Linked DNA regions of Oryctolagus cuniculus. The main gene of each other region encodes a partner of the protein of the gene in region 3 in a complex. Links are inferred from orthologs where the notes say so. Each region holds a gene or a part of one and is shown on either strand. Other genes may lie near its edges.

What was found.
Region 1: NSMCE1 (region 3) and NSMCE2 share a complex: the UniProt entries of both Homo sapiens proteins name them as parts of the SMC5-SMC6 complex. The link is inferred for Oryctolagus cuniculus from reciprocal best matches to the Homo sapiens genes NSMCE1 and NSMCE2.
Region 2: NSMCE1 (region 3) and SMC5 share a complex: the UniProt entries of both Homo sapiens proteins name them as parts of the SMC5-SMC6 complex. The link is inferred for Oryctolagus cuniculus from reciprocal best matches to the Homo sapiens genes NSMCE1 and SMC5.

Annotation. Positions count from the first base shown.
Region 1 is NC_091437.1:150,739,898-150,744,651, reverse strand, and holds the start of NSMCE2 (E3 SUMO-protein ligase NSE2), read right to left. Parts: upstream 3,313-4,754; 5' UTR 3,154-3,312; intron 1,258-3,153; coding exon of another isoform or gene 685-1,257; intron 1-684. Other genes in the region: divergent paired-related homeobox-like, read left to right, coding at 685-1,257. UniProt on the Homo sapiens protein: E3 SUMO-protein ligase component of the SMC5-SMC6 complex, a complex involved in DNA double-strand break repair by homologous recombination. Is not be required for the stability of the complex.
Region 2 is NC_091432.1:160,209,373-160,213,588, forward strand, and holds part of SMC5 (structural maintenance of chromosomes protein 5), read right to left. Parts: intron 1,952-4,216; coding exon 1,810-1,951; intron 1-1,809. UniProt on the Homo sapiens protein: Core component of the SMC5-SMC6 complex, a complex involved in repair of DNA double-strand breaks by homologous recombination.
Region 3 is NC_091450.1:12,342,498-12,347,219, reverse strand, and holds the start of NSMCE1 (non-structural maintenance of chromosomes element 1 homolog), read right to left. Parts: upstream 3,064-4,722; 5' UTR 2,927-3,063; exon of another isoform or gene 2,859-2,926; intron 1-2,858. UniProt on the Homo sapiens protein: RING-type zinc finger-containing E3 ubiquitin ligase that assembles with melanoma antigen protein (MAGE) to catalyze the direct transfer of ubiquitin from E2 ubiquitin-conjugating enzyme to a specific substrate.

The DNA.
Region 1 (4,754 bases), on a different chromosome or scaffold from region 3:
CACTGTAAGAACATCTTCTTCTCTTTACTTCATCTGCCCATCTGCTGAGATCTCAATGTTTGTGTCCCCGATAATTTATATGTTGAAATCCTACCTCCAAGGTGATGGCGCTAGAAGCTGGGACTTTTTTTAATTAGAATCACTCTCATGAATGGGATTCACATTCTTAAGAGGCATTCTCCAGAGAGCTGCCCCGCCCTTCCATCACAAAAGAACGTGGTCAGAAGACACCATCTACAAACCAGCAAACAGGTCCTCAGATGCCAAATCTACTGCTGCCTTGATCTTGGACTTCTCGGTCCCCAAAATCGTGAGAAATAAATTTGTGTATAAATTACTCAGTTTGGGGGACAGCATTGTGATGCAGTGGGCTAAATCACTGCCTGCAACCCTGACATCCCAAATGAATGCTGGCTCATGTCCCAGGTGCTCCACTTCCAATCCAGATCCCTCCGAATGCGCCTGGGAGAGCAGCAGAAGATAGCCCAGGAGCTTGGGGTCCTGCTACCCATGTGGGAGACTCATGGAGTTCCAGGCTCCTGGCTTCAGCCTGGCCCAGTCCCAGCCTTTGTGGCCATTTAGAGGTGCAGACCCCGACACTGCATTCCACAAGGACCCAGGAGATGCCAGCGGGGCCAGTCCTCATCTCTGGAGCAGAACACGGGAACGGGTCGAAGTACAAAGATGTCCGGCTCAGAGGACTTCCTTCAAGGCAAATATAACAAGACATCACAGAGGAAAAGAACCGTATTCACTGATGAACAGCTTGAAGACTTGAACATCTTGTTCAGTAAGAACCCGTACCCAGACCGTGACCTTCAGGTAGAAGTAGCCTCCAAAATGAACATAGACCCCACGGTGGTGCAGGTCTGGTTCAAGAACCACAGAGCAAAACTCAAGAGAGCAAAATCCACTCAAGTTCCACCCCCGCAGGAAGCTCAGCACCAGACACCCCTGGAGGACCCAGTCACACCCGACTCCTTCCAGGCGCCAGTGGAAGCACCAGCCAGATACCCTGAAGACGCCTACCCCCAGGGCCTCACTTACCCGCACCTCAGCATCTACCCCAGGCTCAAAGTCCCCAGGAACCCCTCTGGAGGACACCAAATCATCCACTTCGGCTGCTGCGAAGACACCACCATATACAACCTCTACCCGCTCTGGGACCCCACGGTGCAGCCAGGACCCGGCTCTGCCGCTGCCTCTTTCTTTGCACAAAGCAGACAGAACCAGAATGATTTCCAGACACAGAAATAACTTCCAGCCATAAAGAACAAACAACGATATGGTGGCTGGGTTTCAAAAACACCCCGGGGCCAGTGCTGGGGCTCAGTGTGTTAAAGCCCTGGCTTGCTCCAGTTCCAGTCCTGGCTGCTCCACTTCCATCCAACTCCCTGAACAAAAAAGAAAAAAAAAAAAAAAAAAAAGAGAGTAAACCAGCAGATGGAAGATCTCTCTCTCCCCTCCCCCTCTGTAACTCTTCCTTTCAAATATTTTAAAATATATATAAATTACCCAATTTATAGAATTTGTTAGAGCAGTCAGAATGGACTAAGATACCCTCCCAGACTTGGTTTAAACCAGACAGTGGCTCTCAATGGGCTGGGGCTGGGGCTGGGTGAGTGCGGGGGGCGGATTTTGTCCCTCTCCAGGCAGAAACTTAGCTACATCTAGGCATTTTAGATTTACTTATTTTATTTGAAAGGCAGAGTTATAGAGAGGCAGAGCTGAGAAAGAGAGAGAGAGAGAAAGAGACAGAGAGAGAGAGAGAATGTCTTCCATCTGCTGGTTCACTCCCCAGATGGTTGCAACAGCCAGAGCTGCACTGATCCGAAGCCAGGAGCCAAGAGCTTCTTCCTAGTCTCCCACGCGGGTGCAGGGGCCCAGATTGGAAGTCGAGCAGCCGGGACTTGAATCAGCGCCTAAATGGGATGCTGGCACTGCAGGCGGCTTTAATCCACTACGCCACAGCGCCGGCCCCTACCTGGGCATTGCTGTTTGTTGGGAGTTGGGAAGGGATGGAAAGTCTACCTACTGGCATCCAGTGGGCACAGTGCACAGGACAGCCCCCACAACAAGGAATTATGTGACCTAAAATAACAACAGTGCATTGGTTGAGAAACAGTGTTTTAAACAATCTCCTTTTAGATCTTTCCCCAGGTGGCTCTCATCTTTTTGCTCTCTACCCATCTTCTCCCAACAGTTTAGAACAACAGTTCTTCCTTACCATGTTATTTTGCCTTCCTCTGACAAGCCTGTAAGAGTCTCTGTAGGCACAATTACTAAGAAACGAAAAAAATTTAAAGATACTTTCCTACTGCTCCCTCTTATCTTTCTGTATACAGCACTGTGCAAACACTTTATAGACAATATGCTGACTCTCTCTAAATCCCATGGCAGCCTTGTTCAAGTTCAGCCAGAGCGGTCACTCCCTTTTCAACCTGCTAGAATGTAACTTTTCTCTCTGTGGCAGTCTCTTACCCATGCAATTGATTGTTCCCTCCCTCACAGCCCGCCCCTCCTTCCCTCCCTCCTTTTCTCTCTCTCTCTCTCTCTCTCTCTCACTCACTCACACACACACACACACACACCCCTAGTATAAAAGTCATCACAGCTGCCACTCCTTAAGCATGGGTGCTCCTTAAACTAGAATCCTAACAACTTACATGGCATACAAAACAGCTCCTAACACATCATAGGCCATCGACAAAGATTCGGTGAGAATTACACAAATACCAATCTCTGAAACCGCCACTCCCAGGACATCTGCTGAGTATCACAGACAGGTGCCACGGAGCTTCCTTCTCGCTGTCGTGAATCGTCACAGCACTCTACAGAAGCAAAGGGAAACCGGGCCCAGAGACTCAACTCCAACGACAGTAAATTTAATTTGAAATGCCTGGAACCAAGTTCAAATCACGTTTATTAGGATCAGAAAGTGGTGGCCTGTTCTCCCACACTCTTAGGGCTTTAGGATGGAGAGACGGCGTCAGAGACCGGGGTAAACTGTCCCAGTCTCAATGCTGTAGCGAGAAAGGGCCAGGACCATCTCCCGGGCGGACAGAACCCAGCACCGGGTCTCCGCCGAGCGCCCCAGCGGGAGGCGACTACTCCCGCTACCCTTCCCCATCGCCACCTCGGCTTCTGCCTTACCTGCTGCCCAATCTATAGCCGCCGGGTGCGCCTGAACTTCCCACACCTGGATCCTCGATCCTTTCCTCAACTCCCTTCGCCCGTCGCTGAAACGGCGAGCGCGGGTTCGCGCGTCATCAGCCGGCGCCGCAAGTGGTCACATGACGCCCCGCCCAGCTCTCCGCCTCCTGGGTCATGTGACGGCCTGGGGAACCAAGGGCGGAAGCCGGGGTTTGGCCGGCTGTAGATCAGGGGCTGGGGACGCACGGGGGTTTCCGCGGAGAGAGACTGTTGGGACGAGGGTGCGGACTCTGCGCGCGACCGGCGGCCCTGCGCGTGCGCCGCTAGCGCGGTCCGGCTAACAGGTGAGCCCCGGCGGGGTGTGCGCCCCTTCCTTGCACATCCCGGGTCCCCTCCCCCGCCCTGGCCAAGGGGCCAGCTGCAGCGTCGCGCGCGGTCTGCATGAGGGGCCTGGGATGGAGGAGACTCAGACGCCTCCTGGGGCGGCGGCTGCAGTCCCCTGATCATCTCCGCTTAGGTGCAATCGTTTCGTACACTCGGGGCGGTGGGAAGCGGTACCCCGCTGTTTGGCCGGCGTCTCATCCTTCCAAGTTTTCCGGGAGCATTGCTGCGTGGTGGTTGTTCATCCATTTACTTTCGAGAAAACTGGTTCCTGCGCGGCTTTGACAGTGCTGAGCTTGAATTATGTCTCTGCTGTGGGCTGCGAGTTTGAGCAAATTGTTGGTCTTTCCTGCGCCTCAGTGCTCTCACTGTGACATGGAGATGTCAAAGTCCTTTGCATGGGGGTGGGGTGGGGGGATAAAGGCCCCGATTCCTCTATGGTCCCTCGGAAAGAAAGGCGCAGACCCAGGAATGGAGCTGGATCTCCAATTCCAATTGCTTGGAGCGCTTTTCGACGTAGGGAAGGGCAGAGAGGAAGAAGTTTCACTGCCTCTGCCCACAGCCAGGAGTCCTGAATCGGACTAGAGGGCTCAGGCTCATTTCAGAACTTTTCTGGAAGAGATCTGCCAGTCACATTTAAATTGATCAACAACCGTTATGCTTTATTAAGGGTAATGGGTTTGGGGCGACCAGCGCTTCCTTCATTATGGAACTGAGGTTTTGTGGGAGGATAAATATAGACCCATCTTCTTTTATGCTCCCAGTAGGGTAAACAGTGTTTCATCCACAGCGATGATGTTTCCGAAGAAATGCTATCCTGCCCTTGCTGCGTACCCGGCGTGACTCTTCCATGCTTCCCTCCTGGAAGCGTGTTGTCTACGATGCCTTTGCAAACTGAAAGTCATGGTTGCATGCCAAATGCTTAAAATTTCCACCACTTTGCACCCTGGAAATGAACAGAAGGGAATTGTGGAGGATCTCTGGCTCCATTGTATACTGATAGTAATGGGCCCACATTGAGAAGACTGGTCCTTAGGCGGCGTCTTCATTGATTGCGCCAAGTGGTGGTTTAATAGTGCGTCTTCTGCGGTGTTCATGAGGACCTCATTCTTGACTAATTGTACGAGACTCAGCTGCAGGTTAACACCCTGTGGAACCACCTGCCTGTCTGAGGTCACTGCAAGGTGGTTAGGCATCTTGAAAGATGATTCTGGAATTCC
Region 2 (4,216 bases), on a different chromosome or scaffold from region 3:
ACCAGGCACTTGAGCCATTATCCACTGCTTCTCAGGATGCATTAGCAGGAACCTGGATCAGAAGTACCATAGCTGTGAGTTCAATCAGGCATTCTACTATGAGATGCAGATGTCCTTAGGTGGCAGGTATACCACAACACCAGCTCTTGTATTTGTTTCTTTAAAAAAAAAAAAAAGATTTATATATTTACTTGAAAGGCAGTGTTAGAGAAGCAGAGGCAGAGAAAGAGAGGCCTTCCATCCACTGGTTCACTCTCCAAATGGCCGCAATGGCCAGAGCTGTGCTGATCCGAAGCCAGGAGCCAGGAGCTTCCCACGGGTCTCCCACGTGGGTGCAGGAGCCCAAGCACTTGGGCCACCTTCTGCTGCTTTCCCAGGCCACAGCAGAGAGCTGGATCACAAGTGAAGCAGCCAGGACTCAAACCGGCACCCAAAAAGGAGGCCAGCACTGCAGACGTTGGCCCCATGTGTTTGCTCTAATACTATACCTGTCCATTAACTTTCTTCAAGTAATATATTTTTAATTTCATTATGTTCTATTAGATTCTTTTCCAAATTGATCTTTTTGTCATGTATTCCTCTGTTATATTTGCAATCTTCTTTTATTTCCTTAAGCGAATGACAAATACTTAGTTTACTATCTGTTCCTACGAGCTTTGCAGAGCTCATCATGCAGTCTGTTTTTGCTTGATGTTATTTTAGGTAATTCATTTTTCACATGTTTTATGACTTCTTAGGATGGACTCATGAATTTCTTGAAACTTCATGTTAGAATTCATCTGAGGACTAGGTTAAAAGTATTTTCCTTGAAGGGATAGTTATGTTTGCTTCTGCCAGGTACCTTGAAGGTATTACTAACTGAGACCACTTAAAAATTTGGATTTATGATATTTAAGCCACATAGGTAATATGAATTCTGGCCCCCAATGCATGTTAAGGCTTGTGGTTAAGAATTCTCTGGGCCGGCACCCCGGCTCAATAGGCTAATCCTCCACCTACTGGCGCCGGCACACCAGGTTCTAGTTCTGGTCGGGGGGCCAGATTCTGTCCCGGTTGCCCCTCTTCCAGGCCGGCTCTCTGCTGTGGCCCAGGAGTGCAGTGGAGGATGGCCCAAGTCCTTGGGCCCTGCACCCCATGGGAGACCAGGAAAAGCACCTGGCTCCTGCCTTCGTGGTGCACCGGCCACAGCGTGCCGACCATGGTGGCCATTGGAGGGTGAACCAACAGCAAAGGAAGACCTTTCTCTCTCTCTCTCTCTCTCTCTCACTGTCCACTCTGCCTGTTAAAAAAAAAAAAAAAAAAAAAAAAAAAAAAGAATTCTCTGGAAGACTTTTCTCCCCACTGTATTCAGAATGACCAATGAGATAATTAAGTAACCCAACTGCCCCTTTGGTGTTTTTTTCTGCTGCATATACCGCCTGCCTTCTAGATTTTATCTTATAGTACTTCCCTATCTCATCTCAGGTCCCCTACGAGTTGCAAACCATTCAAACGCAGGTTTTTAAATGTCCCTGAGAAAACAACTCAAGTCTGCTATGTCTTTAGATTCTTATTATTTTTTAAAAAGATTTATGACATTATTTCTAGCATTTCAGGTGTTACATACATGAAGAGTTCTCAAGCGATATAGTCCAAAACATTTCTAGAGATGAGACTCTCCTTTCAGCTTCTCTTATCTGCTAAATTCATTCCTTACATTCAAACACTAGAACTTCACTATACTCATAAAACTGAGAAAAATAAACTTGTTTGTTAGTAAAAGGACTGAACAGTTTTAGATTTTCTTTAAAAGTTCTTCAGTTAACTCACCTTATCTGCCCGTCCCATGAAAGCAGGTTTGCCTGCTAATCCAAGGCAAATGGCACACACAATACTCGACTTTCCTGTTCCATTAGCTCCAATAATCATATTTAAGTGGGGTCCAGGAGATACTTCGCAGACATCATATGTTCTGAATTATAAAGAAATGAAATTATTAAGCAGAGATAAGAATATGTTCTTTATAAAAGCACTCTTTCTCACTTTACATCATCATCTACAAGTTTCCCAAATTCCTTTAAAATCCAGCTCACCTTACAAATTCAACATTATCTACAGGTTGCTTACAACTTATAGTTAGAAAGTCACTGGAAGAAATGAGAAAGTGATAATGCATATCTAAAATGCAAACATCAGAGAGAAAATAAGATGCCTTTTTCAAAATCAAGTCTGTTGAAAAAAGCGAGTTTGATGTGATTTATTTTTATTATCACAATTCATGAGACAATATCAAAGTGATCACTACACAAATAAAATAATTTTCAAACAAATTTTCATACAACCAGTTATGTTATGTTATCTTATGTATGTTATCTTAAATCTGTAAATTTTTTTCATTTGTACTTCTCCTGAATTAAAATGCTTAGTGGCTACTTACCATATTTTAATATGTAAAACAATTCAATCAAATTACTCTTATTCCAATGAAGGTATATATCAACAGAATGCTTTTATTTTGTTATTAAGTAAAAACAAAGAAAAACACTGATTTCATGCTGCCAGAAGAGTCACCAAAGAATCTACCTCTGGTTTACAGTGAAACCAATTTTATTCTTATGAGAGAAAAAGATGTATTGTCACCCAGCTTAAAAATGTTCTGCAATGTTCCCTCAGAACATCGAGCTGATGTTGTCTAGCACTCCACCTGCATTCTTATTAGCTGCAAAGGACAGTTCGACAGAACGTGAAGCAAGCTGACTTGGGGCTGAATACCCTGAACCGGAACCCAAAAATAACGCAACGTGCCTGCAGCATTTCTTTTTTTTTTTAATTAATTAATTTATTTGAAAGTCAGAGTTACAGAGAGAAAAGGAAAGGCAGAGACAGAGAGAGGTCTTCCATCTGCTGGTTAACTCCCCGGATGACCCCAATGGCCAGAGCTACGCTGGTCCAAAGCCAGGAGCAAGGTGTTTCTTCCAGGTCTCCCACACGGGTGCAGGGGCCCAAAGACTTGGGCCATCTTCCACTGCTTTCCCAGGCCACAGCAGAGAGCTGGATCAGAAGTAGAGCAGCCAGATGCAAACCAGCACCCGCCAGATGCAAACCAGCACCCATATGGCATGTAAGCACTGCAGGCTGGGGCTTTACCCGCTACACCACAGCGCCAGCCCCGCCTGCAGCATTTCAGTTAGTGCTCAGGTAGCTATCGACTAACTCCCCAAGAACATTTGTTCAGCCTGTTATCAGCTGCTAACCATATAAATTGAACCAACCACACTTCAACTTTAATGCTTCAAAAAATTAATGATTCCAAAATGCCAGATAATACTAAATAAACAGAGGTAAGTAATTAACATAAGGAAAAAGTAGCTTCTACAAGTTTTCCAGTCTCACTCCTAAACACAGCATCTATTCACTTTGTCTTTTCAGATACTTTGTTCTCTTAGCAGCTCAGTCTTAAAAGAATCCTTCATTATGCTTAACACATTCAAAACTAAATCCACCATCTTTTCCATCCCATCCAAAACTTCTATGGCTTCTTGGTGAAGAGAATCAATCACTAACACCATCACTCAAATCAGAAACCCAGGCATTACTTTTGCATCATCCTGATTCTTCCATCTCCTTGCCTCAACCCAGACCAATGCCCCATCACCCAATCAATGACACCACCTCATCATACTAACTCAGTTCGTACACATGCAAATCTATCACTTGTTAAATAAAGAAAAGTTGGGAAAGGAACCCTTGGTAATTTTGCCCTCGTTGCATCTTTTTCTATTTGTTATCTCCTTTCCCTATTCTCGCTCAGATTTCTACATCCTACCAACAATGTACCTCTGTTTTCTGGTCTACTTATTTTTTCTTCAAGCCTTTGCATGCACTGTTTCTTCAGATGAGAAATCTTTTTTTATCCTCAATTTCATTTCACTTGGCTCACTCACAGGAACCTTTCCCTAACTCTACTCTGAATTCTCTGACTACTCTTCCTACTGTCTTGCTAATTCTCTAAGCCTACCCCTCCTCTACTTTACTCCTCAAACTCAGGGTCGCCCAATCAGTAAAAGCAAACAAAATATCCCGAGCTCTGAACTTTTCTTTCTCCTCCTTACAGTCAACTTTTCCTTCCTCACACCTCATTCATTCTTCCACAGCCTTCCAAGTCTTCTGCTTCGCTTTTTTTTTTTAATTTATTTGACAGATAGACAGTGAGAGAGAGAGAGAGAGAAAAGTCTTC
Region 3 (4,722 bases):
TAGCTGATAAAATTCAACATTTATTCATACTAATAAAAGAAAACATCTTGGTCTACTCACTAGTATCTACAAAATAGCTAGAGCAGACATGATACTTAGAAGATGCAATGGTGAGAGCAATCATGTCAAAGCTCAAGGTGACAAAATCCAATGTGGCTGAATCAATGAAATCCCAATCGAACTCCCAACAGCTTTGTGTACGTTTACATTCTGACAAAATGATTCTAAGATTCCCATAGGAAACCTGAAGGCAGACTGGCAGACATTCTTGGGAAGGTAAAGGTGGGAGGCCTTGCCTTGCCAGAGACCCCTGTGGCAGTGGCACAGGGACGCGTGTGTGAAGAGGGAGGGAACAGACACAAACTCAGAAAGGTGTACATCCATGGACCCTCGACATGCTGGTTAAATAGACTCCGCAGCAAAGCACACTTGTCAGGGAAAGGCACCGCCCCAGACTATCCCCCCATGAAAAAATACACAGCGTGATGCGTACCTCACACTGGATCCACAAGTCTGTTCTAGAGGCCAAGGGCAGGCGGAAGGCAAAGCCCAAGACTTCTCTACGAAAGGACAGGACCATCCCTGTGGCCCAGGAGTGAAAGAGGACTGCTTTGAGAGAGAGAGCGAGCTCCATGAAGACACAGGCTCATCAACTGGATTTTGTGGAAATGAAGGAGCTCTGTGCACCAGAAACACCAGTGAGGGGGCAGAGAGTGAAGGGGGCACACCACCAACTCGAAGGTATTGATGAAACTCCTTAAACTCAGGAAAGGGGAAATGGGCAATAAATTTTGCAAAAGGAGGACGTACACATAGCTAACATATGAAAAAGATACTCTATCTCAATGTTTATCAGGGAAATCAGCACTAAAACCACAGGGAAATAACCAACCACTAGATAGGCAAAACTTGTAAAGAATGGCTGAGCCGAAAACCTTTTTTTTTTTTTTTTTTTTTTTTTAAGATTTATTTATTTACTTGAAAGGCACAGTTACAGAGAGGCAGAGGCAGAGGCAAAGAGAGAGGTCTTCCATCCACTGGCTCACTCTCCAATTGGCCACAACAGCCAGAGCTGTGCAGATCCAAAGCCGGGAGCCAGGAGCTTCTTCTGGGTCTCCCACGTGGGTGCAGGGGCCCAAGCACTTGGGTCATCTTCCACTGCTTTCCCAGGCCATAGCAGAGAGCTGGATGGGAAGTGGAGCAGCCGGGACTCGAACCGGCGCCCACACGGGATGCTGGCACCTCAGGCACCAGCCTAGAATACAAATTCTTACAACTGGAAGTGGATGCCTAGCACTTGGGACACCCTCGTTCCCTATCAGAGTGCCTGGTTCACATCTCAGCTCCTCTGCTTCTGCTATGGCTTCTGCTGGTGCACCCTGGGAGGCGGCAGGTGATGGCTCAAGTGCCTGGATCCCTGCCACCCACAGGGGAGAAGACCTGGCTGAGTTTTGGGTTCCTGGCTTTGGCCTGGCGCAATCCTGGCTGTTGCAAGGTCTGGGGGAATACAAATCTCCCTGTCTGTGCTTTGCAACTAAAATAAATAAAAAAAAATTCTCAAAACCACTAAAGTTAACAATCTGACAGCAAACCTGCATATCCCCCCAAATCCACATCTGCCCTTGGAAACGTTTACAGAAGCACATGAAGAAACAGAATCTGGCAACAGTGGAAGTGCCTGTTTACTGTAGAACTGTCACATACAGCAATTTTACAATCACAGAGTTCAAAACAGCCATGAAGGCCTTGAGGCACAGCCACGCCCATCAGCACAGATGCTTCTCAGAAACACAGCGGGGTGTGCAAACCCAGGTCACACAAAACTACCAGGGTCCGCCTTCCATAAAACCCAAAAGCCAGCAAACCATACATGGGACTGATCAGACATACCTACATGGATCGTGCAAACCACAAAGAAAAACGAGGGAGCCACACAGCACTCGGGGCCCTAGGAATCTGGGGGGGACGGGGCGGAACTGGGGGCTCTGGGGGTTCCAGGATGTTCTGTTTCTTCACTTGGCAGTGGGTGTGTGGGCTCATTTCACTTCGTGCTTCCAAAAAGATATAAGCATATTAAATAAAATCTATAAGAAACGTTAGAAGAATGAGGTCTAGAGTAAATGCTGAACTTTTTGCGAGAGGCGGGACGAATGCAGACACGTCGGTTTGTGCTTGTTATGTCCCTTACGGCTACCAAAAGGGTCTTTAGGGGAGGGTCAGGGACCACCGCCATGCCATCAACTATCTAAATAATCTTTAAACAGAAATGCCGTGGAGAAAGCAGATCTCAATGGAACCACTGTCCGACCGTGTCCCCACAGCCCATTTTACAGATCAGAAAACCGAGGCCAGGCAACCGGCAAAGTTTCCGAGAACACTACGATCCGGGACCCTCAACCGCCGCTTCTCAGTTCCCAAACAGGCTGAAAGCAGAACCTGGTTCTCGAGTGTGGAAACCTGCCCTGACCCGCAGCGAGCCGACCTGCGGTTCGTCTCCGTCCCCCTCGCGTGAAGGCGCAGGCAGGCGCTCGGCCGCAGGACGCCCAAGGGGGGACACACGACGGCGGCCGTGTGCGTCACGCCACCGTCCCCAAACCCCAGGGCAACGCTGGCTTCTGCACCTGTGTGGCCGCGGGGCTCGAGGAGGGGACCGTGGGCTTGGCGCCAAGGTGAGAAGCGCCGTATACAAAACAGGCGAGCTTCTGGCCCCGAAGGGCGAGCCCGGACCCCACCACCTGCCACCACCATTCTAAAATGTCTGCGTGTGTGTGTGCTGGGGGAGCGGACCCCAGCCTCCTAGCCTCGGCTGCCCCTCACGCAGCCCGCTTCCCCGTCAGCCAAGACGCCCAAGCCCCCACCTCCTAGTTCCACACTTCGTCACCGCACAGAAGGTGGGAACCCCACTGCCTGTCGCCCCCAACCCCACCTTCCGTCCACCTCCTCGCCTTTCTGGACGCCCCTTTTTCTTCCCGGAAGGCGTCCGGAACCCCTCGCCCCCGAGCACCCGCCACAGACGGCCGGAAGGCGGGCTCGGACCCGCCCCTTAGGCGGGGTGAAAGCGAATGCGGTGCTCCCATTGGTAGGTTTCGGCGTGCTTCCCCGCCCACAGAGTGACGCACTTCCTGTGTTCCCGCTCGCGCCGCCTCCTTGGTGTTCCGGTATCCGTGCGGTAGGTGTGGAGTTACGGGGTTTCCCGCCGCTTTCAGTATTTACGGGAACAGGCTTCCTCTTGGCTCCCTCCGGCTGCGGCCCTGCGGGGGTGTTCCTGACGGAAGTCCCTGAGGAACAACTGCGTGCGGCCTGGGATATCTCTGTGCCACGGGTCGCACAGCGAGGAGAGAATCCTGACTCCTGCGCTGCTCTGAGCCTCAGTGTGTTTTTCCATTAGATGGGATCTTAGTAGTTCCAGGGAAAAATCAACTGCTCAGCGTCAGGAAAGCGCTGATTAAATGTTAGCCCTCACCGCTTCTTGGCCGGACGGCTGAGATCGAGTGTAAATGTTGGCCATCGACTTAACCCGGGGAGGCGGGTGAGGATTCACGGAGTTCGCAGTGGGAGTGAGCGCACGGCTTTGGGGAACCGGGGCTGCACCCCCGAGGAATGCTCCCAGCTGCTCTCAGCCAGCTCTGAGGCCGCAGCCGCCGCCCGAGTCCCCAGCTGGCAGCTTTGCCTGCTGCCGCGGTGGTCCTGGAGAAGCCCCGCACCTCTGCAGGCCGCATTTCTGGGGAAGGCAGGAGAGGGCATCGTTAGAAGCTGGAACCTGGCAGCAAGGTGGTCAAGCCCGAATCGCCATCCTCACCCTCAGTGTCTCAGATGGACGTCAGAGCACTCACGCTTGCTCTCTCTTTTTTTTTTTTTAAGATTTTTTTTTTTTTTTTGAAAGGCAGAGCTATAGAGAAAGATCTTCCATCCCCTGGTTCACTCCCCACATGGCCACAGCAGCCTGTGCTGGACCCATCGGAAGCCAGGAGCTTCTTCCGGGTCTCCCACATGGGTGCAAGGACCCCAGCACTTGGGCCATCGTCCCCTGCTTTCTCAGGTGCATTAGCAGGGAGCTGGATTGGAAGTGGAGGAGCCGGGACTCCAACAGGACTCCAGCTGGTGCCCATATGGGATGTCAGTGCCACAGGGGGCAGCTTTACCTGCTGCGCCACAGCGCTGGCCCCAAGTTTGCTCATCTTAATGCTGGGGTGATAAAAGCACCTTGTTGAGAGGGCTGTTATATTAAGTGAAGGTTAAAAGCAAACCACTTAGGGGCCGGCACTGTGGCATAGCAGGTAGAACATCCACCTGCAGTGCTGGAATCCCATATGGGCACCTGTTCATGTCCCAGCTGCTCCACTTCTGATCCAGCTCTCTGCTAAAGCAGTAGAAGATGGCCCAGGTCCTTGGGCCTCTGTACCCTCATGGGAGACTGAGAAGAAGCTCCTGGCTCCTGGCTTCAGATCGGCTCAGCTCCAGCCGTTGTGGCCACCTGAGGAATGAACCAACGGAAGGAAGACACCTCTCTCTCTCTCTCTCTCTTTCTCTGCCTCTCTGTAACTCCGCCTTTCAAATAAATAAATAAATCTTTTTTAAAAAAAAAAAAAAAAGCAAAGCACTTAGAAGCATGTTGGCACAGAGTAAGCCCTTGAAAGCATAAGATAGATTACTAATACAAGCTGCCTTGTGGACAAATAAAAGGACAGCCCTAAGGAAGAACTTCATTGTCTGGTTTGCCCT